Linked DNA regions of Macaca fascicularis. The protein of the gene in region 2 interacts with the protein of the main gene of each other region in a biochemical or structural test. Links are inferred from orthologs where the notes say so. Each region holds a gene or a part of one and is shown on either strand. Other genes may lie near its edges.

The links.
Region 1: the proteins of UBE2L3 (region 2) and UBA6 form a complex in vitro, tested with the Homo sapiens proteins (4 studies listed by BioGRID, with this or other methods). The link is inferred for Macaca fascicularis from reciprocal best matches to the Homo sapiens genes UBE2L3 and UBA6.
Region 3: the proteins of UBE2L3 (region 2) and WWP1 form a complex in vitro, tested with the Homo sapiens proteins (9 studies listed by BioGRID, with this or other methods). The link is inferred for Macaca fascicularis from reciprocal best matches to the Homo sapiens genes UBE2L3 and WWP1.
Region 4: of the proteins of UBE2L3 (region 2) and UBA1, one has a biochemical effect on the other in vitro, tested with the Homo sapiens proteins (24 studies listed by BioGRID, with this or other methods). The link is inferred for Macaca fascicularis from reciprocal best matches to the Homo sapiens genes UBE2L3 and UBA1.
Region 5: the proteins of UBE2L3 (region 2) and HECW2 form a complex in vitro, tested with the Homo sapiens proteins (2 studies listed by BioGRID). The link is inferred for Macaca fascicularis from reciprocal best matches to the Homo sapiens genes UBE2L3 and HECW2.
Region 6: the proteins of UBE2L3 (region 2) and ITCH form a complex in vitro, tested with the Homo sapiens proteins (19 studies listed by BioGRID, with this or other methods). The link is inferred for Macaca fascicularis from reciprocal best matches to the Homo sapiens genes UBE2L3 and ITCH.
Region 7: the proteins of UBE2L3 (region 2) and STUB1 form a complex in vitro, tested with the Homo sapiens proteins (3 studies listed by BioGRID, with this or other methods). The link is inferred for Macaca fascicularis from reciprocal best matches to the Homo sapiens genes UBE2L3 and STUB1.

The regions. Positions count from the first base shown.
Region 1 is NC_088379.1:66,127,127-66,130,626, forward strand, and holds part of UBA6 (ubiquitin-like modifier-activating enzyme 6), read left to right. Parts: intron 1-587; coding exon 588-693; intron 694-1,736; coding exon 1,737-1,826; intron 1,827-1,931; coding exon 1,932-2,012; intron 2,013-2,776; coding exon 2,777-2,905; intron 2,906-3,500. UniProt on the Homo sapiens protein: Activates ubiquitin by first adenylating its C-terminal glycine residue with ATP, and thereafter linking this residue to the side chain of a cysteine residue in E1, yielding a ubiquitin-E1 thioester and free AMP.
Region 2 is NC_088384.1:31,510,386-31,513,885, forward strand, and holds the end of UBE2L3 (ubiquitin-conjugating enzyme E2 L3), read right to left. Parts: intron 2,829-3,500; exon of another isoform or gene 2,827-2,828; coding exon 2,672-2,826; 3' UTR 353-2,671; downstream 1-352. UniProt on the Homo sapiens protein: Ubiquitin-conjugating enzyme E2 that specifically acts with HECT-type and RBR family E3 ubiquitin-protein ligases.
Region 3 is NC_088382.1:96,199,763-96,203,262, reverse strand, and holds part of WWP1 (NEDD4-like E3 ubiquitin-protein ligase WWP1), read right to left. Parts: intron 1,762-3,500; coding exon 1,628-1,761; intron 1,537-1,627; coding exon 1,396-1,536; intron 1-1,395. UniProt on the Homo sapiens protein: E3 ubiquitin-protein ligase which accepts ubiquitin from an E2 ubiquitin-conjugating enzyme in the form of a thioester and then directly transfers the ubiquitin to targeted substrates.
Region 4 is NC_088395.1:47,299,431-47,303,692, reverse strand, and holds the start of UBA1 (ubiquitin-like modifier-activating enzyme 1), read right to left. Parts: upstream 2,801-4,262; 5' UTR 2,606-2,800; intron 270-2,605; exon of another isoform or gene 229-269; 5' UTR 156-228; intron 1-155. UniProt on the Homo sapiens protein: Catalyzes the first step in ubiquitin conjugation to mark cellular proteins for degradation through the ubiquitin-proteasome system.
Region 5 is NC_088386.1:91,856,129-91,859,628, forward strand, and holds part of HECW2 (E3 ubiquitin-protein ligase HECW2), read right to left. Parts: intron 3,417-3,500; coding exon 3,287-3,416; intron 1,678-3,286; coding exon 1,531-1,677; intron 896-1,530; coding exon 781-895; intron 1-780. UniProt on the Homo sapiens protein: E3 ubiquitin-protein ligase that mediates ubiquitination of TP73. Acts to stabilize TP73 and enhance activation of transcription by TP73. Involved in the regulation of mitotic metaphase/anaphase transition.
Region 6 is NC_088384.1:90,523,383-90,526,882, forward strand, and holds part of ITCH (E3 ubiquitin-protein ligase Itchy homolog), read left to right. Parts: intron 1-786; coding exon 787-946; intron 947-1,744; coding exon 1,745-1,878; intron 1,879-2,208; coding exon 2,209-2,349; intron 2,350-3,500. UniProt on the Homo sapiens protein: Acts as an Acts as an E3 ubiquitin-protein ligase which accepts ubiquitin from an E2 ubiquitin-conjugating enzyme in the form of a thioester and then directly transfers the ubiquitin to targeted substrates.
Region 7 is NC_088394.1:1,434,390-1,438,548, forward strand, and holds STUB1 (E3 ubiquitin-protein ligase CHIP), read left to right. Parts: upstream 1-1,359; 5' UTR 1,360-1,481; coding exon 1,482-1,640; intron 1,641-1,984; exon of another isoform or gene 1,985-2,126; coding exon 2,127-2,325; intron 2,326-2,412; coding exon 2,413-2,578; intron 2,579-2,631; exon of another isoform or gene 2,632-2,770; coding exon 2,771-2,858; exon of another isoform or gene 2,859-2,997; coding exon 2,998-3,054; exon of another isoform or gene 3,055-3,141; coding exon 3,142-3,465; 3' UTR 3,466-3,725; downstream 3,726-4,159. UniProt on the Homo sapiens protein: E3 ubiquitin-protein ligase which targets misfolded chaperone substrates towards proteasomal degradation.

The DNA.
Region 1 (3,500 bases), on a different chromosome or scaffold from region 2:
GAATTAACCGAGAGACAGAGGTTAAGAAAGTCCCAGATTTAGGGTACGAGTAGTAGGAAAGAGAGAAATTACTAGATTGAACAACAAAATTTGTATATATAGTGCAGAATAGGGGAACAGGATTGATCCACTGTTTGATAGTACTGTATCTGTTTTCCTAAAATACTGCATTCAAGAAGTGATCAGTATATGAAATGGTCAATAGAAAGTAGTAGGGGCCGGGCGCGGTGGCTCAAGCCTGTAATCCCAGCATTTTGGGAGGCCGAGACGGGCGGATCACTAGGTCAGGAGATCGAGACCATCCTGGCTAACACGGTGAAACCCCGTCTCTACTAAAAAATACAAAAAACTAGCCGGGCGAGGTGGCGGGCGCCTGTAGTCCCAGCTACTCAGGAGGCTGAGACAGGAGAATGGCCCGAACCCGGGAGGCGGAGCTTGCAGTGAGCTGAGATGCGGCCACTGCACTCCAGCCTGGGAAACAGAGCGAGACTCCGTCTCAAAAAAAAAAAAAGAAAGTAGTAGGATGTCCTTTCGTTACATTGTTATTGCTCACTTTTTTGTTTTTTACTTGTTATCTTTTCAAATAGTCGTTGCTTAGCAAATCTAAGGCCTCTCTTAGATTCTGGAACAATGGGCACTAAGGGGCACACTGAAGTTATTGTACCACATTTGACTGAATCTTACAATAGTCATGTAAGTGAATCAGTATTTTGAAATAAATGTCTTCTTTATGTCTTATAATTTTTGTCTTGATCAACAATTTGATTTAGCTTTCCTAATCCTTCTGAGTTTGCTGTGCCAATGATGTTCATACATATGTGCATGTACATTTTTTAAAATATAATTGAACTTTTTTTTAATTATCAGAATTTTGTGTCTGTTGTTTCTGGAGCATTATTCTACTGTTTACTATTTATTTCTCAGAGCTGCTTAGTTTTCTAATACCCTTTGAGTTTAAGATTGTTTGATAAGAACAAACTATTAGATTGAGACTAGAACCGTCAACAAAGACATAAAATTTTATTCGCTTGCTGAGACGAAGTGAGCCATTTTAGATTAGGTAAACCAATAAACCTAGGCAAAATGTACTCTATAATAGAATGTGGATTTCTTCAGTGGTACTTTATCCACAAAAAAATGACTTAGGTATTTGCCATTTATTTAATTTATCAGTTGAAAAATATGAAAAGTATGTAATCTTGGGTCAAAGAGGGGAAGAAAATAAAACTTTAAGAAATAAAAATTTGTAGAATATAAGTATTATAAGTATTGAGAAAGAAGATTAAGAAACCTGTATCAAGCATTGAGGACGTATTTCTGCTCCCAGATGTTTTTCTCTATGGAAAAACTCATGCTTTTCCGAGCATTATACTGGGTATTCCTGAATTACTTTTCAAAGCAGGGAGTGTTATAAAACTTTACATTTCACCTTGATTCATGAAGAAAAAAATGATTTATAGATGATGGTGTGTCATGAGTACTACATGGTGCTTTAAATGAGTACACAAATAATAAATAAGATTCATGTTTGGCATTACATAGCTGTTAACAAATAGGTTAAATGTCAAAAGAATTAACTTCTCTTATTGCCTAAGAGAGCGAAGATATAAAAATGTCTGGTTGGATTTTATTTATCTTTGGATTTTTAATAGCCTTAAAGCTCAAAAGTAAATTAAACCAATAAAAATTGGTCATTGCTGCTCCTTAAGTATCTGTGGTCATATTTTATAAATTAGCGGGATCCCCCAGAAGAGGAAGTACCATTTTGTACTCTAAAATCCTTTCCAGCTGCTATTGAACATACCATACAGTGGGCAAGAGATAAGGTAAAAATTCCTTTTTAAATTTATTTTCTTTGAAGTGAGAAAGAAGATATTTCTGACTTTAAACAGCCTTCTATTTCTAATTTTTTTTCCTTTTCTCTGTTACAGTTTGAAAGTTCCTTTTCCCACAAACCTTCATTGTTTAACAAATTTTGGCAAACCTATTCATCTGCAGAAGAAGTCTTACAGGTAAAAATCACTACATTTTAATACAAGCTTAACACTTTGTGTCAGTGTAATCTTATTTTCAAGTCATCTACAAGTGATTTATTTTACCTCCATAAAGAGTGATTGTATATAAAAAGTGAAATGATACATAAGGAATCTTGAAATTAGGTCACAAATTATCCTTTTGGTTTGGTTGAACTATACAGAATTGTCAATATTTGACCATGTTTAACTCACAAAACAGCAATTCATATGGTTCAAGCTAATAAAGATATGATAGTTATGATAGAAAGGCTACAAATAATAGAAGGGCTTTTATTAAGCCCTTTGGAAAGAAAAAATTGAGGTAAGTTCTAGTTAAAATTTCATGAGGGAACAATTATCTCCAAGACTTATTACTCTTATAGTGAAGGCAACTTTAAAGATGTTTTCTCACTTTCTTTTAATCTTAATATAATAACAAGGCCCACTTTTTAGTATCAAATATTCATAGCACTTTTAGTAAGTACATATATTATAGTACTAATAACTTAGAGCTAGGAAAATATGAGGATAATTTGTAAGATAAGAAATCAGAGTTAAAATTTTGTGTGCTATTTCTTACCTTTCCCCTTCTCAAACAGAAAAGAGCTTAAAGAAGGAAGGAAAAGGAGCTTGAGGTGAAAAAAGAAAAGCATAAAACACATGAGTTGACACTTCAAACTTAGGCAAACTTTTGTTGGGGGATGTATATATGTTTGTAATTGGAAATATGTTGATTTTTTTTTTTTTCTCTCCCATTCTAGAAGATACAGAGTGGACACAGTTTAGAAGGCTGTTTTCAAGTTATAAAGTTACTTAGCAGAAGACCTAGAAATTGGTCCCAGTGTGTAGAATTAGCAAGATTAAAGTTTGAAAAATATTTTAACCATAAGGTAAGTATGCATTGTGAGACATTAAGAAAAGGTCTGACCTTGGCTTTTTTAGTTATTAACAAATTAATTTCATTGACCTGAAATGTATATTCTTTCTTTTGGCAAGCTTTTCAGAAGTTAGTAGTAAGTTAAATGAGAACACATGCTAATCTAAAAGAAGTTTATTAAGAATAGAAGAAGCAAGAAACTGAGAAAATAGGCGTATTCAGTCAGAAATTTTGCTGGGATTTTGCTATTTCCACCCATATCCGATAATCACTCTTTATGTCTGTTTCCCCATCTGTAAAATAGAAATAATAAATTTGTACCTAATACGTAAGGTAGTGGTGAGGATAAAAGGAGGTAAGACTTATAAAGCATTTAGAACAGAGCCTGGCACATAAAAAATTACTAAATATTAGCTGTTATTCTTACCTCCAGTTAAATATGGTTGCTGAAATGTGTGTTGCATTCTCTTTAGTCTTTCCCTCTCTTTAGGCTCTTTAGTTCATCTTCCTTAAAAACAACTTGGAAAAAAAACAAACAAAAAAACAAAAACGGGGTTTCCCTATGTTTTCCAGGCTGGCCTGGAACTCCAGGGCTCAAGTGATCCCTG
Region 2 (3,500 bases):
CCTCTTCAAAACACGGATCGTAACACTCCCAGGGGGCTCCAGGATGACTCCCACATGTAAGTGATGCACCCACACGTTATTCCCTGTCCCCTCACAAGACATCCAAGAGCGCCCTCTGCAGGCCCCGACTGTCTGGAGTCTCTGGCTTTCTCGTTGATTATACCTCATCTCCTTCCCTCTAGGGAGGCAGGAACACCTCTATGTACCTCTTTTGGAGAGGCTGGGAATGGGGAGAGAGATCAGAAGCCCCAGGACCTGGGCCCCAGCCAGCCCTCCCATCTCCAAGAGCACAGGCCCCTGGCACTGCCCGCTCCCAGGAAGGAAGAAACCCACACGACTAACCAGTGTCTGAGAGCATTTTTATTAAGGGCAGCAGAACGGGATCGCAGCATCTTAGAAAGCCTATTCTCTGCCGTGGTGGGGAGTGGGGAGCAGAGGGAAGGACCCGGCACACTTCAAGAAACCAGGCGGGTGTGAATTCCTGAGTGAGCTAGGGGCAGCAGTGGGTGGCTGCTCCACAGCTCGCCCCTCCTCCAGAGGACCCAGCTTTTTGGTTTTGGAGCAGCCAAAGCTGTTCACCAGCTTGCTCAGAGCCTACCCTGAGGGCATGGCTGGCAGGAGCAAGTCGCCCAGGCCCGAAGGAGAGACACCCACTGGCTCGAAAGCCAGGCCTCTGCTGACGGGGCCAACCCTGGGGTGCCAGTGCCAGGGCTGAGAGTCCCTGAGGGGCTGCTGGCACACAGGTATCCTCCCGTGGTGAGCAGAGCGCAGTGAGGGGGTGACAGGCAGGCAGAGCTACGTTGGCAGAAATATGAAGCAATGGGACAGTTTCCAAGAATGGCAACATTTCTGGATCCAGAGAAGCAACAAGAACAAATGGTGGCTTGTTTGGATAGTTTCTGACAGAATTTGGCATTTTATTACAAATTGGAGTGTGAGTGAAATAAAATCCATCATCATTTTTCTGCTAATGAAGACACATATACGGAAACGCCAGCCCGGTGCCCTTGCCATTCTGGGCACACGAGTCTCCAGAAACCTGCCCTTGGCGTACCTAGGACAAAAGAAGCTGAGTTCATGTACACACCACAGGGGCCACGCGCCTGAATGATGTTAGGCTACCTAACCTGCCCATCACTCCCCACTTCTGCACAGATCAGACCGGAAAGATCTAGAATTAAAATTAAAACAAAAAGCAAAGTTTAAGTCATCTTCTCCACAGGATCTAGTCCCCCCCCAAAAGCCAAGAAGGGAAGCCACCAGTGGCAGAAGCGGGGTTGGTGACACACGGCATTTGGATCGTCGGCTTCCTTGGGGTGTCAGAGTGACACAGATTCTCTACTAGTTTGGGGACAATCCCATTTGCCTTGAAAAGACATTAATATTCAAATCTTTACAAGTTTATCTGATGATAAATTCTAAGGTCAATTTTTATTTCTACAAAAAAAGGCAGTCAAAACAATATAAAACACATTGAAAGGATATTACTGAGTGAGCTTCAAGTGGAGCTTGACTCTGCAAAGGCTGTGAGTCCAAAGGGAGAGGAAGTCCGTCTTGTTCCCGGGCTGGGCCAGCTGCTCTGGAGGAAGGGGTCAGCAGGGGCCCAGGAGACCCCAGACTGGTGCTTTAAATAGCCGAGTCCTGCTAATTCCAATCCTACAAAGGGTCAAAGTGTGCCGAGGGAGGGCTGTGGCGGGGCCGCTGCACAGAGGAAGTGGAGAGCAAGCTCCGTGGCACATTCAGATGAAACTCGGTGACAGATGAGCTGGGAATTTCAAACGGACATTCTGGCTGTAGCTTTGCCTGCAAGGACCAGCAGATCTTCTACAATGGCTGCAGGAAGAAGTGCCAACCTGGGACATCAGGAGCCTTTCTGGCGAGATTCATCACACACAGTGTGCACAGCATCCTCCTGACTAGCAGGCCCCCCATTTCGGGGCCACCACAGACCTGTGATTATAGGGTTTGTCTGTGCAGGCCAGGCCAGAGGTCAGTTACACACACTGACATCAGAGCTTGCCCAATTAACTCATTTTACTGTGGTAACATCAGCTGAAGATTCACACAAGAACTGAGGAGAAGGACTGGAGGAGGGGTGTGGCTGTTTGTTTTTAAAATTTTTAAAAGGATGTTATAAACTGGAGTCAGGAGAATTTAAACCAACTCCCACACTGGGCAACAGTCCCACACGTGCTAAGAAAAGCCACCAGGACCGCCAGGGCAGTCTCTTCTCTTTTGTGGAGGCGGGCCCCGGGTCTGGGGAAGTAAGTGAAAAATAAACTCAGTGCCAGAAAGTGGGAGTGGCAAGGGTAGGGAAGAAAGGGAACCACAACCTTTTTTTTCCTTTTTTTAAAACATTATGGGCTAAATGCAACTTGAAGATTTTGGATAAAATTGGACAAGAAAAGAAACACCATTCTTTTGGAATAGATTGAAGCAGTGATTTTTAAAACAAAGAGAGCAGAACTAGAACATCTTAAATTTTTAATCCTTTCTTTACAGGTTACCTAGACCACTTTTGATTAAGAAAACTGTAGAAAGTTAGTAACTGCCACAAGCGAACGCCAGGCGGTGGCACGTGTCAATTTCCACAGAGTCCTGCTTTGCGGGGTGTCTGAATGCACTGCACGGGGCCTCTGCTCACACTTGCTGGAACCAATCGTGGCAGATTTTAGTCCACAGGTCGCTTTTCCCCATATTTCTTTGTAAACTCTTCAGCATTCTTACAGAATTTTTTACGGTCCTTAGAGTATTCTTCAGCTAGGTCAGCCCGAAGCGGGTGCTCGGGCTGGGGGTCATTCACCAGTGCTATGAGGGACTGGATTACTGCCAAGAGAAGGACAAGGCATGGGGGGTTAACACAGTCTCAGAAATGGCACAGGCAAGAGGCAGCTAATCCCGGGAACAAAACTCTGGCTTTACCACTGGTTTATATCTAATGTGCTTTTAAGCCAAAGCAGCCTATCTATCCAAAATTCTGACCCCCAGAAAACTCATCTTTCCTCTGTGATTAGGAGACATTGATGGACAACAAATAGCTAACACTACAGTGGATAATTGTTCACAGTGATGTGCTTCCGCCTCCAGGAAACCTTCCTGACCTGACACCTGGGGAAGTCTTAGCCCTCAGTCACTCCCAGCCCTTTTTTCTTGGAAGGGGGTTGGGGAGGAGGGACAGGGTCTCACTCTGTCACCCAGGCTGGAATGCAGTGGCACCATCTTGGCCCACTGCAGCGTCAACCTCCTGGGTTGACCTCAAGCAATCTTCCAGCCTCAGTCCCCCGAGTAGCTGGGGGACCACCATGCCTGGCTAATCCAGTCCTCTTGTGTGCTCTGGAGATAGGAGGCCTAGCATTGAACTGCTCACTCTCTCACACACACACACACACACACACACACAGGGTCACTTTCTTCGGGGCAGGACTGGGTAGAACTTCCCTGCATCAGCCCAGCACCCAGCACCATGCTCGGCTCAGGGAAGTTTTGGTTAAGGTGACTGA
Region 3 (3,500 bases), on a different chromosome or scaffold from region 2:
AAAACCACCCCAGTTTACCTAGCTATTAAAAAATGAGCTAGATTTAACTGTACTGTCCTTAAGACAAAAAAGTAAAATACAGAGTAATGTGTATAATCCAATCCCATTTTCAAAACAAATATAAAAAACAAAAAATCTGAAAGAGACAGAGATGACAGCTAGCATCTAAGAGGGTGAAAATGGTAGTACTATTCATAGAAGACATCAGTAGGAGAAAATATCTAGAAAAAATGAAAAGTTTGATTTTAGACCCATGACATTTTAAGATGGGTCATCTGTAGTTCACGTGTTGGCAAAGTATGACCCGTGGGCCTAATCATCTGGTTTTTTTGTCCCCAGCATTTGAGCTAAGAATAGTTTTTACATTTTAAAAAAATGACTGAAAAATATTAAAAGTATTTTGGGATATGAAAATCATACAAAATCAAATTTCAGTGTCTACAAGTGTTTTACTAGAACACAGCCACACATCTATTTATACACTGTCTATGGTTACCTTCACACTATACCACAGAGGTGAGTAGTTGCAATAAGAAATGTGGCCTGTAAGCCTAACAAGTTTACTGCCTGGTTCTTTCCTGAAAATGTTTGGATTTACCTGGCTGGCAAATGGAAATTATTTCTAAAGTTCAGATATAACTTTAACAGAAAATTGAAGCTATGTTAGCAGAATATTTAGATAAGCAGGTTGAAATAAAATCTTGGAAAAATGCCTACATTTAGGAAATAGGAGATTTAGAGAACCGTCATTAAAAAAGTGCAAGTGACCAGGAGTGGTGACTCATGCCTGTAATCCCAGCATTTTGGGAGGCTGAGGAAGGAGGATGACTTGAGGCCAAGAGTTTGAGACCAGCCTGGGCAATACAGTGAGACCCTGTCTTTAAAAAACAAAAACAAAAACAAAAACAAAAAACCATTGTTTTAAATTAGCTGGGAATAGTAGTATAAGCCTGTAGTACCAGCTACTCAGGAGACTAAGGCAGGAGAATAGCTTGAGCTCAATGGTCAACCACGCCACTACTACAGCCTGAGCGACAGAGTGAAACCCTCTCTGAAAACAAAATTTTAAAACAAGAGAATGTAAGGAAAATCAGTATGACATAGGATCATGGAATTCAAGAAAACACTGAGTTTCAAGAAAGAGGCTATGGTGAGCACTATTTAAAAGCCTAAGTTAAAAAAGGGAAAATGACATGGAAAGGGAAATGGTAGAATGGTTACAGCAAATGGCAGTGGGAAAATGAAGCAACATACATTCTTTTTTTTTCAAGAGCAGTGGTACTGGTGAGAAGAACTTCCCAAAGGCATGAAAAGGGGATGAAATTAAGGGTACAGAGAAAGGATTTAGTTCTGAAGTGTTCTAGAAATTAAGCTTAATAAGGTATATCGCCTTACCCAATATATTCATCTTTGTTCTCCTCAGTCACCAGAATATTGGAACCTCCCAATTTCAGGTCATGTGAAGTAACTTTTCCCAAAATCTCCATGTCAACAGAAAAGTACATTTCTAAGCCACATTCTTCAATGTTGTTATCTCTGGGTGAAATAAATATATATACACTAATTAACAAAATGAAACAAAACGAGTTTCAAAAAAATGACTTACTGCAAAACAAAATCTTCAAACCTTATCCAGATAAGGGAGTTATAAAATTCAGTATCAATAGATTCCAAATCCTTAATAGTAAGTTTTTTACTTAACATACGCTTGTAGAATGGTAAAGAGAAACCAGTATCGATAAACTTTCCATGAAATAGTGCCTGCAAAGAAAAATGAAAAATTTTATTTAAAATTTGCAAAATAACAATTTCTTACAGAACAATGATAACAGAAAAATCATGAGACTTTACAAGTAAAGCATTCAGTAAGTGAATGGCATAAATCATGAAAACTAAAATATTATATAAAATGCTAGGTATGAAAAACAAAGTTAAAATCTATTTTATACATACAGCTATATAACATATATCAAAAAATGTAGAGGATGATACAAGACTTCTGTTACCATACCCTGCCTCAATCTTCCTAAATGTTTTATAAATTGAATTAACCTAATTGGATAACGAAATAGAAAAGGGCTCTGTGCACCTGAAAAGGCAGCTCCCCCGTTCCTTTCTTATTCTCACTGTTGCATGTGAGGCTTTTAGGACTAACCTCACTGTGCCTTTGCTCCTATTCACAACAGCCAACCCAGGAAGCCCCAGACTCCCAGCAATGTGGGGGAACTAAAAAAATCCACTGAAGCTATTAATACTACCTTAGCCTCCTCATGAAGTTATGTCTTCCCTTACTCAGTTTAGATTCCATAGTCAATCATTAAAATAACTACCTTCAAGGTGGGGCACGGTGGCTCACACTTGTAATCCCAGCACTTTGGGAGGCTGAGGCAGGTGGATCATGAGGTCAGGAGATCAACACCATCCTGGCTAACACAGTGAAACCCTGTCCTTACTAAAAATACAAAAAATCAGCTGGGAATGGTGGCACGCACCTGTAATCTCAGCTACTCAGGGGAATGAGGCAGGAGAATTGCTTGAACCTGGGAGGTGGAAGTTGCAGAGAGCCAAGATCACACCACTGCACTCCAGCCTAGGTGACAGAGCAAGACTCTGTCTCAAATAATAAAATAAAATAACTCCCTTCAAACCCTACCTCCGCCAGTGTATTCTAGCAAAATCCCAAGCACAGCTAAATTCAACTCTCAGGTTACTCAATGTCTATACCTAGGCAATGGAACATGCTAGAAATGCATAAACAACCAAGCTGACTCCTCCATGACCAACAGTCATATTTCATCACTGGTTTGTTTCCTGGTAATCACATTTCCCTACTGCATTCACTCTCCCACTTTCCTAGATGACTATTTCATTCCTACTCCTCTTTCCTCAAATACTTACTTCTCCCTGCTCCTTATTCTGAGTTGATGATCTTACTTCCTATTTCACAGAGGAAACAGAAGCAACCACAAGAGAACTTTTGTGTGTTCTACTATATCTGCTCACTACTAGCATCTGAATGCATATAATCTTATTACAGATAATCTTTCTATCAACTAGTATGTGTGCTAAATAAATCTCTTCCTCTCTCCAACTCAAGTCCATTGCTCTCATATTCCTTATATTCTGACTTTATCAAATTCTTTATCCTCTAACTTGGTAGTATTGTTTAGATGTTTCTCTCCTCCAAATCTCATGTTGAAATGTGATCCCCCAGCTGGCTTCTTCATACAGAAGAATGAAACCAGAGTGCTACCTCTCATCATACACAAAAATTAACTCAAGATGGACTAAATACTTAAATGTAAGACCTAAAACTATTAAAATCCTAGAAGAAAACCTAGGAAATGCCCTCTTGATATTAGCCTTGAGAAAAAAACTTCTAAGTCCTCAAAAGAATTGCAACAAAAACAAAAATTGATAAATAGGACATAGTTAAACTAAAGAGCTTCTGCACAGCAAAAGAGGGAGTAAGCTAACCTACAGAATGGGAGAAAATATTC
Region 4 (4,262 bases), on a different chromosome or scaffold from region 2:
GACAGAAACTCTGGATAGGAGCTAAAGATCCCCCACCCCCAGCAGAAAAACAATCTACACCCTTCCTCCCTCAACATTTGCTCAGGCCCCCACTATAACATACACACTGTGAACTGTTTGGCAAAGCTGAGCTGCGGCTTAGTTTCTAAACATACCTGAGTCTCCAAACTGAAGATTTTCAAGCGTAAGCATTCTCTATTCTCAAACCAGAGGGTTTGAGGGAGGAGTCTTGGAGGTGTGAGAGGAGGCAGGTTAGCAGGATGGAGAAGCTAGGGCATAGAGAAGGGGGGCTGGAGCATGTCAAGCTTTCCGGGAGGGGTTAACTGAGAAGTCCATGGGAACGTGAGAGGAAAATCAGGAAGTGGGTGTCTAAGAGCAAGGAGGCTCTGAGGCAAATGGGAAAGGAGATGTTAGAAGTCCTGGGAGGGAAGGGACTAGGCTAGGGTGTTAGGAAAAGACTCAAATTTCGGATCTCTGGAAAAGGATCTTTTAGAGAAAGGCTGAAAAATTGCAGTGGAGGCCCCCAGAGGCTGCAAAGAGGTAGGAGGGCAGTTGCTGGGCCCCATGGAAGCTGCAAAGGGAATGGGTGGGGGATTCTAGAGTCTGAGGAGGCAGCAGGAAGACGTTGGGGTCTGGGGGGAGGGGTAGTCTCCATCAGGAGGATGTTGAGGCTCTGGAGGTCTCTGGAGACAGATGCTGGTAGCAGAGAGAAATCTTTAACCAAAAATAATAGATAGGGACATGCAAGAGGAGAGCTGTATCTGACATTCCTACTACAGAATCCCAGGAGGCTCTGAGGGTGGATGGTGAGGGGCTGGGAGAGGTTTCTAATGGAACACAAAGGCCCTGTGTCAATCTCTGACAGGACATGCTAGGTATCACAGCTGCTCTGAGGGGGTGGAAAAGGGAAGCTGGGCCCAGATAGTTCAGGCCTTAAAAAGGTTAGTAAGCAAACACTGGCTAGGTCCCCAAATGGGGTTGGGTTTCTCTGACCAATTATGTAGGACCCCATGGAGACGCTGAAGGTAGATGCTAAGAAGAGGGTTTTCTATTGCGGTAGAAAACAAGAGGGCCATGGCCGGGCGCAGTGACTCACGCCTGTAATGCCAGCACTTTAGGAGGCCGAGGCGGTGGATCACCTGAGGTCAGGAGTTCGAGACCAGCCTGGGCAATATGGTGAAACCCCATCTCTACTAAAAATACAAAAATTTAGCCAGGCGTGGTGGTGCATGCCTGTAATCCCAGCTACTCGGGAGGCTGAGGCAGGAGAATCGCTTGAAGCAGGGAGGTGGAGGTTACAGTGAGCCGAGATGGCGCCACCGCACTCCAGCCTGGACGACACAGTGAAACAACTCCGTCTCAAAAAAAAAAAAAAAAGGAAGAAGAAAGAAAACAAGAGGGCCTGTGGGTGGAAGGGACATCTGACAATGATCCTGGGGTCCAAGGAGTCTGAAAGCAGAAGCTGAAAACCCCTGACTGCAGACATTAGGGACCTTGAAAGTATCTGAGGGCAGATTCTGAGGCCTGATGTGAGGATAAGAGATCTTTGAAAAAAGCAGCTAGAACCCGGGTTGTCTTTTGACGGCAGAGGCTGGGTCTAGGGTGGGGTAGGGGAGGCGAGTCTCTGATGGAAGGGGCTAGAAGCCAACCGGGACTGCAAGAGCAGATGCTCGCAGGGGCTCTTTGATGGAGGATTATGTATCCAAACAGTTCCTCCCTGCTATCTGGTGCACCGGAAGGCTCTGGGGGTTCAAGGTGTCTGATGGGGAAGATGCTGAAGCCTCTCAGTAGTCTCTGAATACTGGGAGTATGAAAAGCAAGAAATTCCGTAAAAGTAGAGAAAGTGTCAAAGGACGGAGTCTAGGAATTGAAGTCTCTCAAGGCAGATGCTAAGAGGGGTCTCTGAGTAGAAATACTGGGCAGAGTCTCTAATGAAAGACGCTAGGGCCAGGGTGGGGTTAGGAGACCTGAGGTGAGGCGAAGAGGGTTCCCCGACACAAAGGCCAGGCCCAAATGGCCTTTCACAGGGTCTAGTACCCCTGGAAGCTCTGAGCGTGGCTAACATGTGTGTGGGATGGGGGGTCTGAAGGAAAATGCAAACGAGGACTCTCTTACAGAGATAAAGAGCCTATGGACCCCTTCCAGGTCTAGCCTGTCTTGGAAGCCTTGAGGGCAAATACTGAGAGGCTAGGAGGTGTCTCAAAGGAGATTCTGGGGCAGGTCTTTAATGGCATTCAATGGTGAGAAGCTCTGATCAGCAATGCTGATCCCCGTAAATCTCTATCGGAGACTGGGGAGAGTTCTGATCTGAGATACAAGGTTCGGGACGGAGTCAGGTCCCAGACTAGAGATGTTGGGCATGAGTCTCTAAAAGCACATCGTGGGGGTCCGACTCCAAGGTCAGATTTTGGAACTAGAGGGATCCGGGGTGGTCCTGGCCGGGGAAAGTCGGCCCCGCCCCAGGCTCTGCTCCCCCTCCCTACTCCGCTGATTCCTGGCGCCCGAGTCACCGCGGCCCGCCCCGACAGCAGCGTGGCTCAGGCCCTTCCAGTGCCTCCCCGAAACCCCTGCCCCGGGCGAGGCGCAGTGAAAGGACGTTTTTTACCAATGCCGGTTCCCCGGGTCGCGCCGCCGCCAACTCCTCAAGGAGCCGAAGCCAAGCCCGGCCGCCACCCTCCTCCTTCTCCTCCTCCCCGCCGCCTGGGCCGCCTAGAATCGCCGCTGCCGCCTTCTCCTCCCCCGGCCGCTGTGGCTGTGGTTGTCCCTGCCACCTCCTTCAGCCGAGCCGCCGACACAAGATGGCGGCCGCTGAGCCTGGGGCCGGAACAAAACCTTGGGCCCCACCCCCAGAAACCCGGATGCAAGCGGGCCGCGCCTACTTATGAATCATGCATAAAGTTCCCGGTCCGGTTGCGATTCATTCGGTTAGAAGTGGAACAGTACCACCTGGTGGGCATTGTGGCAGTAACAACGAAAACAGGTAAAAGAGAGGCCACGCCTCATGGAATGTGAATAATGAATGGTTGCAGCCAGGCTGTCATGGAAGCGAAGAAAAACCATTAAGGTCACGCTTCCTGATTATAAGTTATGCATAAAGTTGAGTGGTTGGTAGACTAACAACCAGCAACCAGACAGCAGATATTAAAACATGGAAGTCACACACCTCCATTCATGAATAATGATGATCTTGCAGGGGCCCGGAATCCAAGGAGACCCAGGCCACAACTTACTCATGAATAATGCATAAGACCCAGTGGGTTGGAATAAAAGGAGCACGCCCACCTATTGCTGCACCTAATACACTATAAGCAGGGAAATGGGGCTACTGCAGAGAAAACACACTCTCCCAGGTTCTGAATAATGAATTACGCTGCTGCAGTAGCTCAACCTGGAAACTCAAGAGAGGTCAAGAAAGGTTCCACCCAATTTATGAATTATGCATAAGGCGAACAAACACCCAAGACTGCCCTACCCAGCAAATAGAGATTACGATGCTATAGCCAAGGCAAAGTGAGCACGCCTTCCTGTTCATGAATAATGAAAGATGTCACTGCAGTGCCACCAGAAAACCCAGGGGAAGTGTTCTCTCTGCCCCTGCCTCCTCTCCCCACACCTCCCTCCATTCTCCCCGCCTCAGGAACAAGGGCTGCCTTAGTCCAATCAAACCCAAACTCATTACATGTCTTTGGCAGGTGCCTCAGTTTTCACAACTGTAAAATGAGGATAGTAACAGAGCCCATCCACCTCACAGAGATGTGTTATTATGAAAATCAGATCACGCCTGTAATCCCAGCACTTTGGGAGGCCGAGGCGAGTGGATCACCTGAGGTCAGGAATTCGAGACCAGTCTGGCCAAGATGGTGAAATCTTGTTTCTACTAAAAACACAAAAATTAGCTGGGCGTGGTGGCGGGCGCCTTTAATCCCAGCTACTGCGGAGGCTGAGGCAGGAGAATCCCTTGAACTCGGGAAGCAGAGGTTGCAGTCAGCCGAGATCGTGCCATTGCACTCCAGCTTGGGCGACAAGAGTGAAACTCCGTCTCAAAAAAAAAAAAGAAAATCAGAGAATATAAATTATGGGATGAGTCTTAGAACATTGCTGGCACAAGGCACTGTTAAATTTTTAAAACATTATATATTAATATAAAGGTAATATGTTAAGATATGTAAATATATATTTACATTAATATAAAATTAGTTATGAATACTCAGCCACAAGAGAAACCCCCAACTTGGGCCACTGCTTCCCCATCCATAAAATAG
Region 5 (3,500 bases), on a different chromosome or scaffold from region 2:
TGAAGGCTTTCTAACATGGTGATAAATTTCAGAACATGTATTCTTTGCTTAAAATTATTTAATAAAACCTTAACTCTGGGTTACCATCAGGTCCCTTGCAAAGTATTAGTTTAACACTCAAATTTCAATGGGTTTGGTCCCGGTTATGAATCGATAATTTGTACTAATCTGCAGAAAGGTCACTTTTAAAGCTTTCCATTTTGTGAAGTTTCAGATAGTGCAGTTTTTAACTAACCTTACTACAGTCTTCTTTTCACTTGAAATTCATGCTTGAATTTAGAACTTCTCCAATAATGTCATATTTTGGGAACTGTGTCTTATTCCATTCAAGTATTCTGACTATGAATGATAACTGTTAAGGAGTGTAGTGAATGGTGGGAAACCTGTGCTGACTGGGAACCTCAAAGGGTGTGCTTCTTTAAGTTTTAGAAACAAAATGGAATAGGTGGAGTTTGACCAGCTGGATGTTAGCTCCTTGGTGCTTCACTGGCAACACCATAAAGTAATTAATTAGTGTTCTTATGGTCACATTTCTTCACCAACAATTAAGAGTTATGACATCCTTTGATGCTGTGTAAACAGTCCTTCTCCCATCTGACAGATGAGGTAACTAGGAGAAGAAGAGAATGTACCTTGCCCAAGGTCTCAAGGGAGCCTGCAATCAGACCTATGATTAGAGTCCAAGTGCTGTTGCCTGTCCTATATTCAGTTGGCAAGCTGAACCAATGCCTTCCTTTAATCTGAAATTTAAAATCTAGCCATCTATAAATCAAATTTCACCTCCTCTATATTCTGTGTTGTTTCTCCAATCACTTAGGTCTATTTCAGCTGTGCCTGCGATGACCAATTCCAGTTCTCTTGCATCAAACACAGATACCAGCCTGGCATCCACCACCTGTGGAATAAAAAGAGTACAAGGCATGGCTTAGGAGCCTGGAGAAATATCAGCTATAATTAAGTCTTAGAAAAAGGGACACGTGGAGTTTCAGGAATAATATGTGTGTACCTTGAGCTGGCACTTGAAAACCTGTAAAGCTCCCTACAAATATAAGGCATTCTTTAAGGTTGATGAGATTTGCCTCGACAGAATTTTTGTTTTATAACTGACTGCTGATTAATCTAGGTCCCGTCCACCTTTAGGAAAATACTTAGTGTTTCTACAGAAAAAGCCACATACAATATGTGCCAACTCATTCTGACCTCAGATATAATTATTTCACATAGCAAGCATGAGATTTGATTACCCGTATCTAAGCATAAGATGCATGGCTTAAATGTTACTAGTGGTCATTAAATCAACAAATGCTACTTGAGTTCAGTCCCTAACATTTATTTCAGTGATCTCTCGTAACAGTGAGTTAAGCTTCTTTTGGTGCTCTTGAAATATAAGGGAAAAAATATTGAACTTTTCGCATGGAGAGAGCAACAGTAAACACAGCAGAAATCGTCTACACATGTAAGTACAATAAGATGGATTGTGGCATCATTGATATCAGACTGCAAACTCCTCCTACTGCTGATTGTCTTTACCTCATAGAAGCCACGCACTAAACTCTCTGTTTGTTGTACAACACCCCTCTCAATCCTCCACTTCACCATCCTCTCGATGTACTCCTTCTTGTTCTTCTCTGTAACTGGGATATTGGCACCCCCAGGCTTTAATTCTCGTTCAGTTATCTGAGATTAAAAAATAAAAAGAATGACTATAAAGCAATACTCTTACTGTTATAAGAACATGACTAGCAGTGAGCTGAAATCAGCCAGCTACCTGTCCCCAGCCCTGCCCTAGGCACATCCCACAAGCTGGCAGTGAGGCCCCAGGCACTCATGGAGCACATGCACTCAGGAAAAACTAGGCATTGAGCTGGTGCTTGAAAGCTTTGGTGATTTATATATATATATATATTGCTGGTACTACAGGTTAAGTTTTAAAATGCAGACGAATTGGCTTCAGATACCAGCCTGCTACTATTTGAATGTTTGACAAAACCCATTTTCACAAATTTCTCAGAATTGACTATATCTAGAGTAAAGATTTACTTTAAAGAAGCAGAATTACACTCAAGTGAATGTTAAATTGAGAACTTTTTCAAAACACATGGAAATCAGAAAAGCAGCTAAAGATTAATGCCTAAATAAGAATATTACTTATAAGCCGGGCGCGGTGGCTCAAGCCTGTAATCCCAGCACTTTGGGAGGCCGAGACGGGCGGATCACTAGGTCAGGAGATTGAGACCATCCTGGCTAACACGGCGAAACCCCATCTCTACTAAAAACACAAAAAATTAGCCGGGCGAGGTGGCGGCGCCTGTGGTCCCAGCTACTCGGGAGGCTGAGGCAGGAGAATGGCGGGAACCCGGGAGGCGGACCTTGCAGTGAGCTGAGATCTGGCCACTGCACTCCAGCCTGAGTGACAGAGCGAGACTCCGTCTCAAAAAAAAAAAAAAAAAAAAAAAAAGAATATTACTTATAAACTAGTATATAATTTCTGGAAGAAATGTTTTCCCTACTCTTTCCCTACTCTTTCAATTTTTTTTATTGAAAAAAAAAAATCAATATATTCTGTTTTTAAGTCTTCCCCAAAACATTGTTTATGTTCCCTTAGCTTCAAAAAAATCAATTTTGGTTCTTTTTTTTTTTCTTTTCTTTTTTGAGATAGGGTCCCACTCTTGTCCCCCAGGCTAGAGTGCAGTGGCATGATCCAGGCTCACTGCAGCCTCAACCTCCCCAGCTCAGGTGACCCTCCCACCTTGGCCTCCTGAGTAGCTGGGACTACAGGTGTGTGCCACCACACCTGGCTAATTTTTGTATTTTTTGTATAGACAGGGTTTCACCATGTTGCCTAGGCTGGTCCTGAACTTCTAGGCTCAACTGATCCTCCTGTCTTGGCCTCCCAAAGTGCTGGGATTATAGGCATGAGCCACCGTGCCCAGCCACCATTCTATAAATGGAATTTTAAAATTCTGTAGCGTGGACTTCAAAAAAACTGCATTCTATATAAGGTAAATTCTCATATTTTAGGGAATATTTCAGTTGGAAATAAAAAGAAGATTGCTTACAACATAAAAGGTTATCACCATCTGTAATTTACAGCATCTTAATCTGCAGCTGACATTAATTCTAACCTTTGTAACTGCGATTATTGTAACTGTGTGTGATCTGGAGTTTAAATCACCCAATAAACCACAAATAAATAAGCATCTGATCTTAGCCATGGAGTTAATTCTTCACTCGTCAATAGCTTTCAGTTACCACACTTAGGCACCAGGTGTGCAGAGACACACACCTGCCCAAATACTTCTTCGTTCACAGTGAACGTGAGGTCTAGGATGTCATGGATATCATTGTCTTTCATCCACTGCAGGCTCTGATGGAACTCTTCATCAAGGTATTCTAGATCACTCAGGTCACATAGACTAAGATGACAAACAGACAGAAACAAATATGTAGGCATGGCTATTAGCAAAAACCCACAGTAATAAGGAAAGAAACTAAGAATT
Region 6 (3,500 bases), about 59 Mb from region 2:
ATGAGTAGAAATATGTAATTTTGTATAAATTAAAGGCAATCGAAGAGAAGAGCAATCATTTATTCCTAATAAGAAAATCAACTAGCAGTATTAAAGTGTGTCACGAGATACACTTATCAGAAGAGGCCATGAACTAACAGGAAAAGAGATCCAGATTACAGGCTTATGCCACATGTATTACCCCAGATCACCCATGTTACATAGTTTTAGTAACCATAATCTTATGTTAATATTGGTTCATATTTTCACAATATTTGACTTAGAGTCTCAGCATTTTTCTAATATGTGAGTGGCTGGAATTATGTGCTTTACTGCCTCTGTGAAATTTTCATATTGATTTAACGTGTAGGGAGTAGTGGCACTTGACGGGGATTATTATGGGACTTAGTAATAGATGGAATATTAGATTGATTTCAGCCACTCACATGGGTGAATGGTGAATTTTAAATTTGCCTATGAATAGTATTTCATTGATTCTAAGACCAGTATTTTCATGTTATAATATCTCTGAAATTAAGATATATCGCAGGTAAAATTGGGAAAATGTTGTCTTAGATTCTTTAAAATGTAATAATGTATATATTACCATCTACCAGAGATGGTGTATACTACCAACTCTGTGAAATAGATGTGAGTTTGAACAGAAGCAATAAAAATCAACATGAGATTAGAAAACTATCACTAGCTGAGGGGTATAGATCCCTGAGAACTTTATAACACTGTTCTTTGATTTGTTGACATGGTAACCTGCAAGATTTTTCATAGTAAATTTTCTTTTGATTTCAGAGAATGGTTCTTTCTTTTGTCACATGAAGTGTTGAACCCAATGTATTGCCTGTTTGAATATGCAGGGAAGGATAACTACTGCTTGCAGATAAACCCCGCTTCTTACATCAATCCAGATCACCTGAAATATTTTCGTTTTATTGGCAGATTTATTGCCATGGTAAGTGCAGGTCAAGAATTATGTTTACTTTGCTTACTCAGCAATACTAAATTTTCTCTTAGGTGCCATAACAGATCATACGAGAGAAAGGGAAGTGATTTTGTTTTGTTTTTTATTTTTGAGACAGAGTCTTGCTGTATCACCCAGGCTGGAGTGCAGTGACACAATCTTGGCTCACTGCAACCTCTGCCTCCTGGGCTCAATCAGTCCTCCTGCCTCAGCCTCCCAAGTAGCTGGGATTACAGGTGTGCACCACCATACCCAGCTAATTTTTGTGTTTTTAGTAGAGATGGGGTTTTGCCATGTTGACCAGGCTGGTCTTGAATTCCTGACCTCAGGTAATCCACCCACCTCAGCCTCCCAAAGTGCTGGGATTACAGGTGTAAGCCACCGTGCCCAGCCAGGGAAGTGTTTTTTTGAGACAAAGTTTCACTTTTGTTGCCCGGGCTGGAGTGCAGTGGCGTGATCTCGGCTCACCACAACCTCCACCTCTCAGGTTCAAGCAATTCTCCTGCCTCAGCATCCTGAGTAGCTGGGATTACAAGGATGTGCCACCACGCCTGGCTAATTTTTGTGTTTTTAGTAGAGATGGGGTTTCTCCATGTTGGTCATTATGGTCTTGAACTTCTGACCTCAGGTGATCCACCCACCTCGGCCTCCCAAACTGCTGGGATTACAGGTGTGAGCCACCATGCCCGACCCAGGGAAGTGTTTTTAAATGAAGAATTCATTTAACATATTCAGATAAAATGATTATTGTACAATTATTTTAAGCAGTCTTGTTTCCTTTTTTCATAGGCTCTGTTCCATGGGAAAATCATAGACACAAGTTTTTCTCTACCATTCTATAAGCGTATCTTGAGCAAACCAGTTGGACTCAAGGATTTAGAATCTATTGATCCAGAATTTTACAATTCTCTCATCTGGGTTAAGTAAGTTTCTTTTTCCATGTAATTTATTAAAATATAGTTTATATGCATTCCGTGTAGTATTGATAACCTATGCAAACTGTAAGCACATAATTGGTTTATTGTATTTAAATGATCTATATATCAAACCTGCCTTTTTATTCAATATGATAAATTTTACAAAAATATACCGAAGATCTTTGGCAATAATATGATGACCTTAGAATAGAATCTTATTTCTTCTTATTTTGATGTTATAACTTAATTATTTAAGAATATGGGCCTTAGGTAAAGACTTATAAATTATGATTGAATTGGTGGATATAACAGAGAGTGCTAATTTCATTTGTGCAGAGAAAACAATATTGAGGAATGTGGTTTGGAAATGTACTTCTCCGTTGACAAAGAAATTCTAGGTGAAATTAAGAGTCATGATCTGAAACCTAATGGTGGCAATATTCTTGTAACAGAAGAAAATAAAGAGGAATACATCAGGTGAGAGTGCTCCTTTTCACATTTCACTTTTTGTTTGACTACAGCGTATTGATAATTGCTTACTAATGCTAATGGAGAGTTATCTCCAAAAATAATATTTGTCTTTGTACTAATCAATATCCTATGTAGGCAATCATTTTTCATTTCTAAAAAGTTTTTTTTTCAAAAAGTGTTTTTGAAAGAGTTTAAGGATAAAAGTCATGCAGGATTACTCTTTTAAATATCAATTCTGTAACTATGCTGTATAACATGTCATTAAAAAGAATCTCAAATATATATGCAGATATTTTTACAGGGAATATTGTAAGGTGTATTAATCCACTTTCCCGCTGCTGATAAAGACATACCCAAGACTAGCCAATTTACAAAAGAAAGAGGTTTAATGGACTTACAGTTTCACGAGGCTGGGGAGGCCTCACACTCACGGTGGAAGGCAAGGAGGGGCAAGTCACATCTTACATGGATGGCAGCAGGCAAAGAGAGAGCTTGTACAGGGAAACTCTGTTTTTAAAACCTCATCATTGGCCGGGCGCGGTGGCTCAAGCCTGTAATCCCAGCACTTTGGGAGGCCGAGATGGGCGGATCACGAGGTCAGGAGATCGAGACCAGCCTGGCTAATACGGTGAAACCCCGTCTCTACTAAAAAAAATACCACAAAAAACTAGCCGGACGAGGTGGCGGGCGCCTGTAGTCCCAGCTACTCCGGAGGCTGAGGCAGGAGAATGGCGTAGACCCGGGAGGTGGAGCTTGCAGTGAGCTGAGATCCGGCCACTGCACTCCAGCCTGGGCGACAGAGCAAGACTCCGTCTCAAAAAAAAAAAAAAAAAAAAAAAAAACCTCATCATTGGCTGGGCACGGTGGCTCACGCCTGTAATCCCAGCACTTTGGAAGACCAAGGCAGGCAGATCACGAAGTCAGGAGATTGACACCATCCTGGCCAATATGGTGAAACCCCGTCTCTACGAAAAATACAAAAATTAGCTGGGTGTGGTGGCATGTGCCAGTAATCCCAGCTACTAGGGAGGCAGAGGCAGGAGAATGGCTTGAACCCAGGAGGCGGAGTTTGCAGTGAGCCAAGATAGCACCACTGCACTCCAGCCTGGTGACAGAGCGAGACTCCGTCTAAAAAAAAAAAAAGACCATATCATATC
Region 7 (4,159 bases), on a different chromosome or scaffold from region 2:
GTGTACTGTGGGGCCGGCAGGCCGGGCACTGTGACCACTGCCTCATCTGACATGAAGGCCTCCATCTCGAGCTCCAGGCACCAGGACTGCTGTGAGCAGCGAGGAGAAGCAGCCAGACACCCCATCAGGACAAGCTCTGGCTCCGACTCCTGGTCCTAGAGACACACAAGGGCCCAGACTGTCTGCTTCACAGACAAGGACGCTTATGTACCCAAGTCGTGCCCACCCAACTCACCTGAGGCTGTGACTGTGGTGGGTCCACACCGCAGAGGGCAGACAGCTGGGTGACCGCGGCCCCCACATCTGGCAGGAGGCAGAAGGTGGTGGTCGAACAGTGCACAGCCAGCTCAGGGGGATTGGTGGTCACCAGATGCTGTGAGAAGCCAGGTCAGGGTGCCCGGCGTGGTGGACCCACAGGGAGGCCCCGCCCCCACGAAGACCCGCTCTGGAGGCCCCGCCCCGCCGATGCCACGCCCCGATGAAGACCCGCCCTACGGAGGCCCCGCCCTCGAGGCGGGCCGCACCTCGCCGCCAGCTTCCAGGCCAGCAGCCGCTCCAGCTCCCTGTCACATGCTCTCCGCTCTGCCCCTGATGGCCGCTGGCAACTCCTCCCGATACCTGGGGAAGGGCGGTGAGGGGAGGTCCGGCCACAGGGTACGCTCGCCCACCGATCCCTTTATCCCCTTCCACTCTACCAACGGCCCAGGGCTTCCAGCCGCACTCGGGGGTCCGCGCGCACCCGTAGGACCTCTCGATGGCGCTCCGGAATGGCGGCCCAGCGACTGCGGTCCTTACACCCAACAGCGCGGGAAGCCACTATGTTCACGCGGAGGGGCGGGGCCGGCTGCCGGGGGCGGGGCCGGCTGCTGGGGGCGGGGCTTCTGCGTAGGGGCTGGCTGCTGGGGGCGGGGCCTCTGGGTGGGGCGGCCTGTTGGGGGCGGGGCGTCTGCCGATGGGGCGGGCTGCTGGGGGCGGGGCTGGCTGCCGGGGGAAGGGCCTCTGGATGGGGCCCGCTGCTTGGGGAGGGGTCTCTGCGCGTTGCGGCGGGGGCGGAACGCCAGGTGGTCGGGACAGGCTGTTGGGGGAGTGCGCCCTCAGCGAACCAAGGCATCTCACTGGGAAAGTCGAATGTGTGTGGCGGTCGCCGCCGAGGCCGGTTCCGAAGAGGCCTCAGCAGGGCGGGCCAGGGCCTCCGCGAACGCCGACCCTTAAGAGCGCCGAGCGAGGGAACCGGAGTGTTCCTCCCAGCCCCCGACGCCGCGGGCCTAGCGTCCCCGTCCAGGCTGATTGGGCGCACGCGCGGCCCCACTCGCCCCCACCCGTGCGTCCCCGCTGGTCCCGCCCCCGGCCGGAAGTTCCGGCGGTGGAGCTGGGCCGGGCCCGAGAGGATCGCGGGTTCGGGCTGCGGGGCTCGGGCTGCAGGCGCTGGGCCGCCAGGCGCGGAGCTTGGGAGCGCAGCCCAGGCCGTGCCGCGCGGCGCCATGAAGGGCAAGGAGGAGAAGGAGGGCGGCGCGCGGCTGGGCGCTGGCGGCGGAAGCCCCGAGAAGAGCCCGAGTGCGCAGGAGCTCAAGGAGCAGGGCAACCGTCTGTTCGTGGGCCGAAAGTACCCGGAGGCGGCGGCCTGCTACGGCCGCGCGATCGTGAGTGCGCTCGCGCGGGAAGGGCGGCGGCGGCGGCGGCGGCGGCGGCGGCGGCGCCGGGGAGGGCCGGGCCCGTGCCCGGCTGGCCCCACCGAGGGTCTGGTTCCTCTGCGGGGCATGTCCTGGGCTCCTAAAGCCCAGCCGTGGTTCCCGAGCCCAGCGCCGGGTGTCGGAGAACGAGGGTGGGATGCTGGATGGAGGCCGGCCGGGTCGGGGGGAGGGCAGGGGCCCTCGCCCCTTGAGGCTCCCAGGTCCAAAGCCTGGACTCTCCAAAGATTTGGAAAACTTTACAAAACCAAGTGGAGTCAAGCGGATAGGCTCAGCCAGTACTCCACTGTCTGCAGATCCTTGGATCCAGGGGCTTTGACGACTGAGAAGCCTAGTTTCTTGATTCTAGCCAGAGCGCAGAAGCTGGGACGGGCCGTGGGACAGAGGGGGCGCGCTGAGCCTACACCCTCATGCGGCTGGCCCGGCCTTGGTCCCTAGACCCGGAACCCGCTGGTGGCCGTATATTACACCAACCGTGCCCTGTGCTACCTGAAGATGCAGCAGCACGAGCAGGCCCTGGCCGACTGCCGGCGCGCCCTGGAACTGGACGGGCAGTCTGTGAAGGCGCACTTCTTCCTGGGGCAGTGCCAGCTGGAGATGGAGAGCTATGATGAGGCCATCGCCAATCTGCAGCGAGGTTGGCTGACAAGCTGCCCGGTTGTGGGGCCCCTGGGGCCAGGCGGGTGGACTGGCCAGAGAGTGACCTGAAGCCCCCGTTCCCCAGCTTACAGCCTGGCCAAGGAGCAGCGGCTGAACTTCGGGGACGACATCCCCAGCGCTCTTCGAATCGCGAAGAAGAAGCGCTGGAATAGCATCGAGGAGCGGCGCATCCACCAGGAGAGCGAGCTGCACTCCTACCTCTCCAGGCTCATTGCCGCGGAGCGTGAGAGGTGGGACCCTCACCCCAGGTCGCCCTGTCTTGGGGTAATTCTGAATCACCAACTACCAACATGAGCGTTTATTGAAGGTTTTACTGGCGAGCAGAAAACGTGGGGAAGAAGCATGAATGTTAGCCCTGAGGTTGGGGTGTGGTCAGACATCTGGCCAGGTCCATCTCTTACTGGCTCCTGGTCAACCCCCAGGGAGCTGGAAGAGTGCCAGCGGAACCACGAGGGTGATGAGGACGACAGCCACGTCCGGGCCCAGCAGGCCTGCATTGAGGCTAAGCATGTGAGGGTGCCCCCCTCCCACATGTGGGTCTGTGTGTGTGCACCTGGCGTGGGAGCATCCCCGCCTTGTGTTGGGTCTGTGCCCCATGGAGGAGGGAGGTGGGGTGTCCCGCACAAGTGCAGTGCTCAACTCTTCACAGGACAAGTACATGGCAGACATGGACGAGCTCTTCTCTCAGGTGGACGAGAAGAGGAAGGTGAGTGTCTGTCACTTGCTGCGGTGGGTGGCAGGTGCTGGAGCAGTGCCCCTTCCCAGCCTCTGATCGTGTGCCCCTGTGCCACAGAAGCGTGACATCCCCGACTACCTGTGTGGTAAGATCAGCTTTGAGCTGATGCGGGAGCCGTGCATCACGCCCAGTGGCATCACCTACGACCGCAAGGACATCGAGGAGCACCTGCAGGTGAGGCTGCGGCTGGGGGAGCAGGGCCAGCAGCATGGTCCTGGGCCCACTGACTGCCCTCTGCCCTTCTTGTCACTGCAGCGCGTGGGTCATTTTGACCCCGTGACCCGGAGCCCCCTGACCCAGGAACAGCTCATCCCCAACCTGGCCATGAAGGAAGTCATTGACGCATTCATCTCTGAGAATGGCTGGGTGGAGGACTACTGAGATGCCTTGCCCTGCCCAGCATCCTGGTCCAGGAGAGCCCTGGGCGGAAGCCCTCCACCCCTGTACATAGTTTGTGTTGCTGGCCACCCTGGCCCCTTCCAAGTTCAAGTTCTGCTGTTGGGCTCTGGACTATTCCCCCTCTCAGCATAGCTCTTGCTGGGCCATGATTGTCCCCCTTTGTGGGCTGGAAAAGCAGGTGAGGGTGGGCTGGGCTGAAGCCACTGCCGACACTGTCTGTGTAATAAAATCCATGAGCACGAGATGGGACGTGCTGGTGTGTGGCAGGCATGCCTGCCAGCTGCTTTGGCTAGCCGAGGAAGGTGGAGATGAAGACGCTGGTGTCAAGGTTGAGTGTGGCATGCCACCAGCGGTCAGGGAAGTACAGCACCTGGTGGAGAAAAGGGGTGCAGCACAGATTAGCTGGGGGCCTCTGGCCTGGCCTGGCCCTCTCCTGCCAGCCACTGACCTCACCAGCCCGGATGGTACACTCCAGGGGCCGTGCAGACGGTGGCAGGGCTGGATATGTGTCCCGGAGCCAGGCCAGCGTGGTCTTGTTGGGGTGGAACTCTGGTGTCTTCTCAGGTGGGTAGAGGAACCAGCGCTGGGGGCAGGAGCAGCAGCGTCACCCTTGCCTGTTTTGGTCACCGAGCCCCAAGGCTCAACCCCAACCCTGTGCTGACCTTACGGCCGTAGA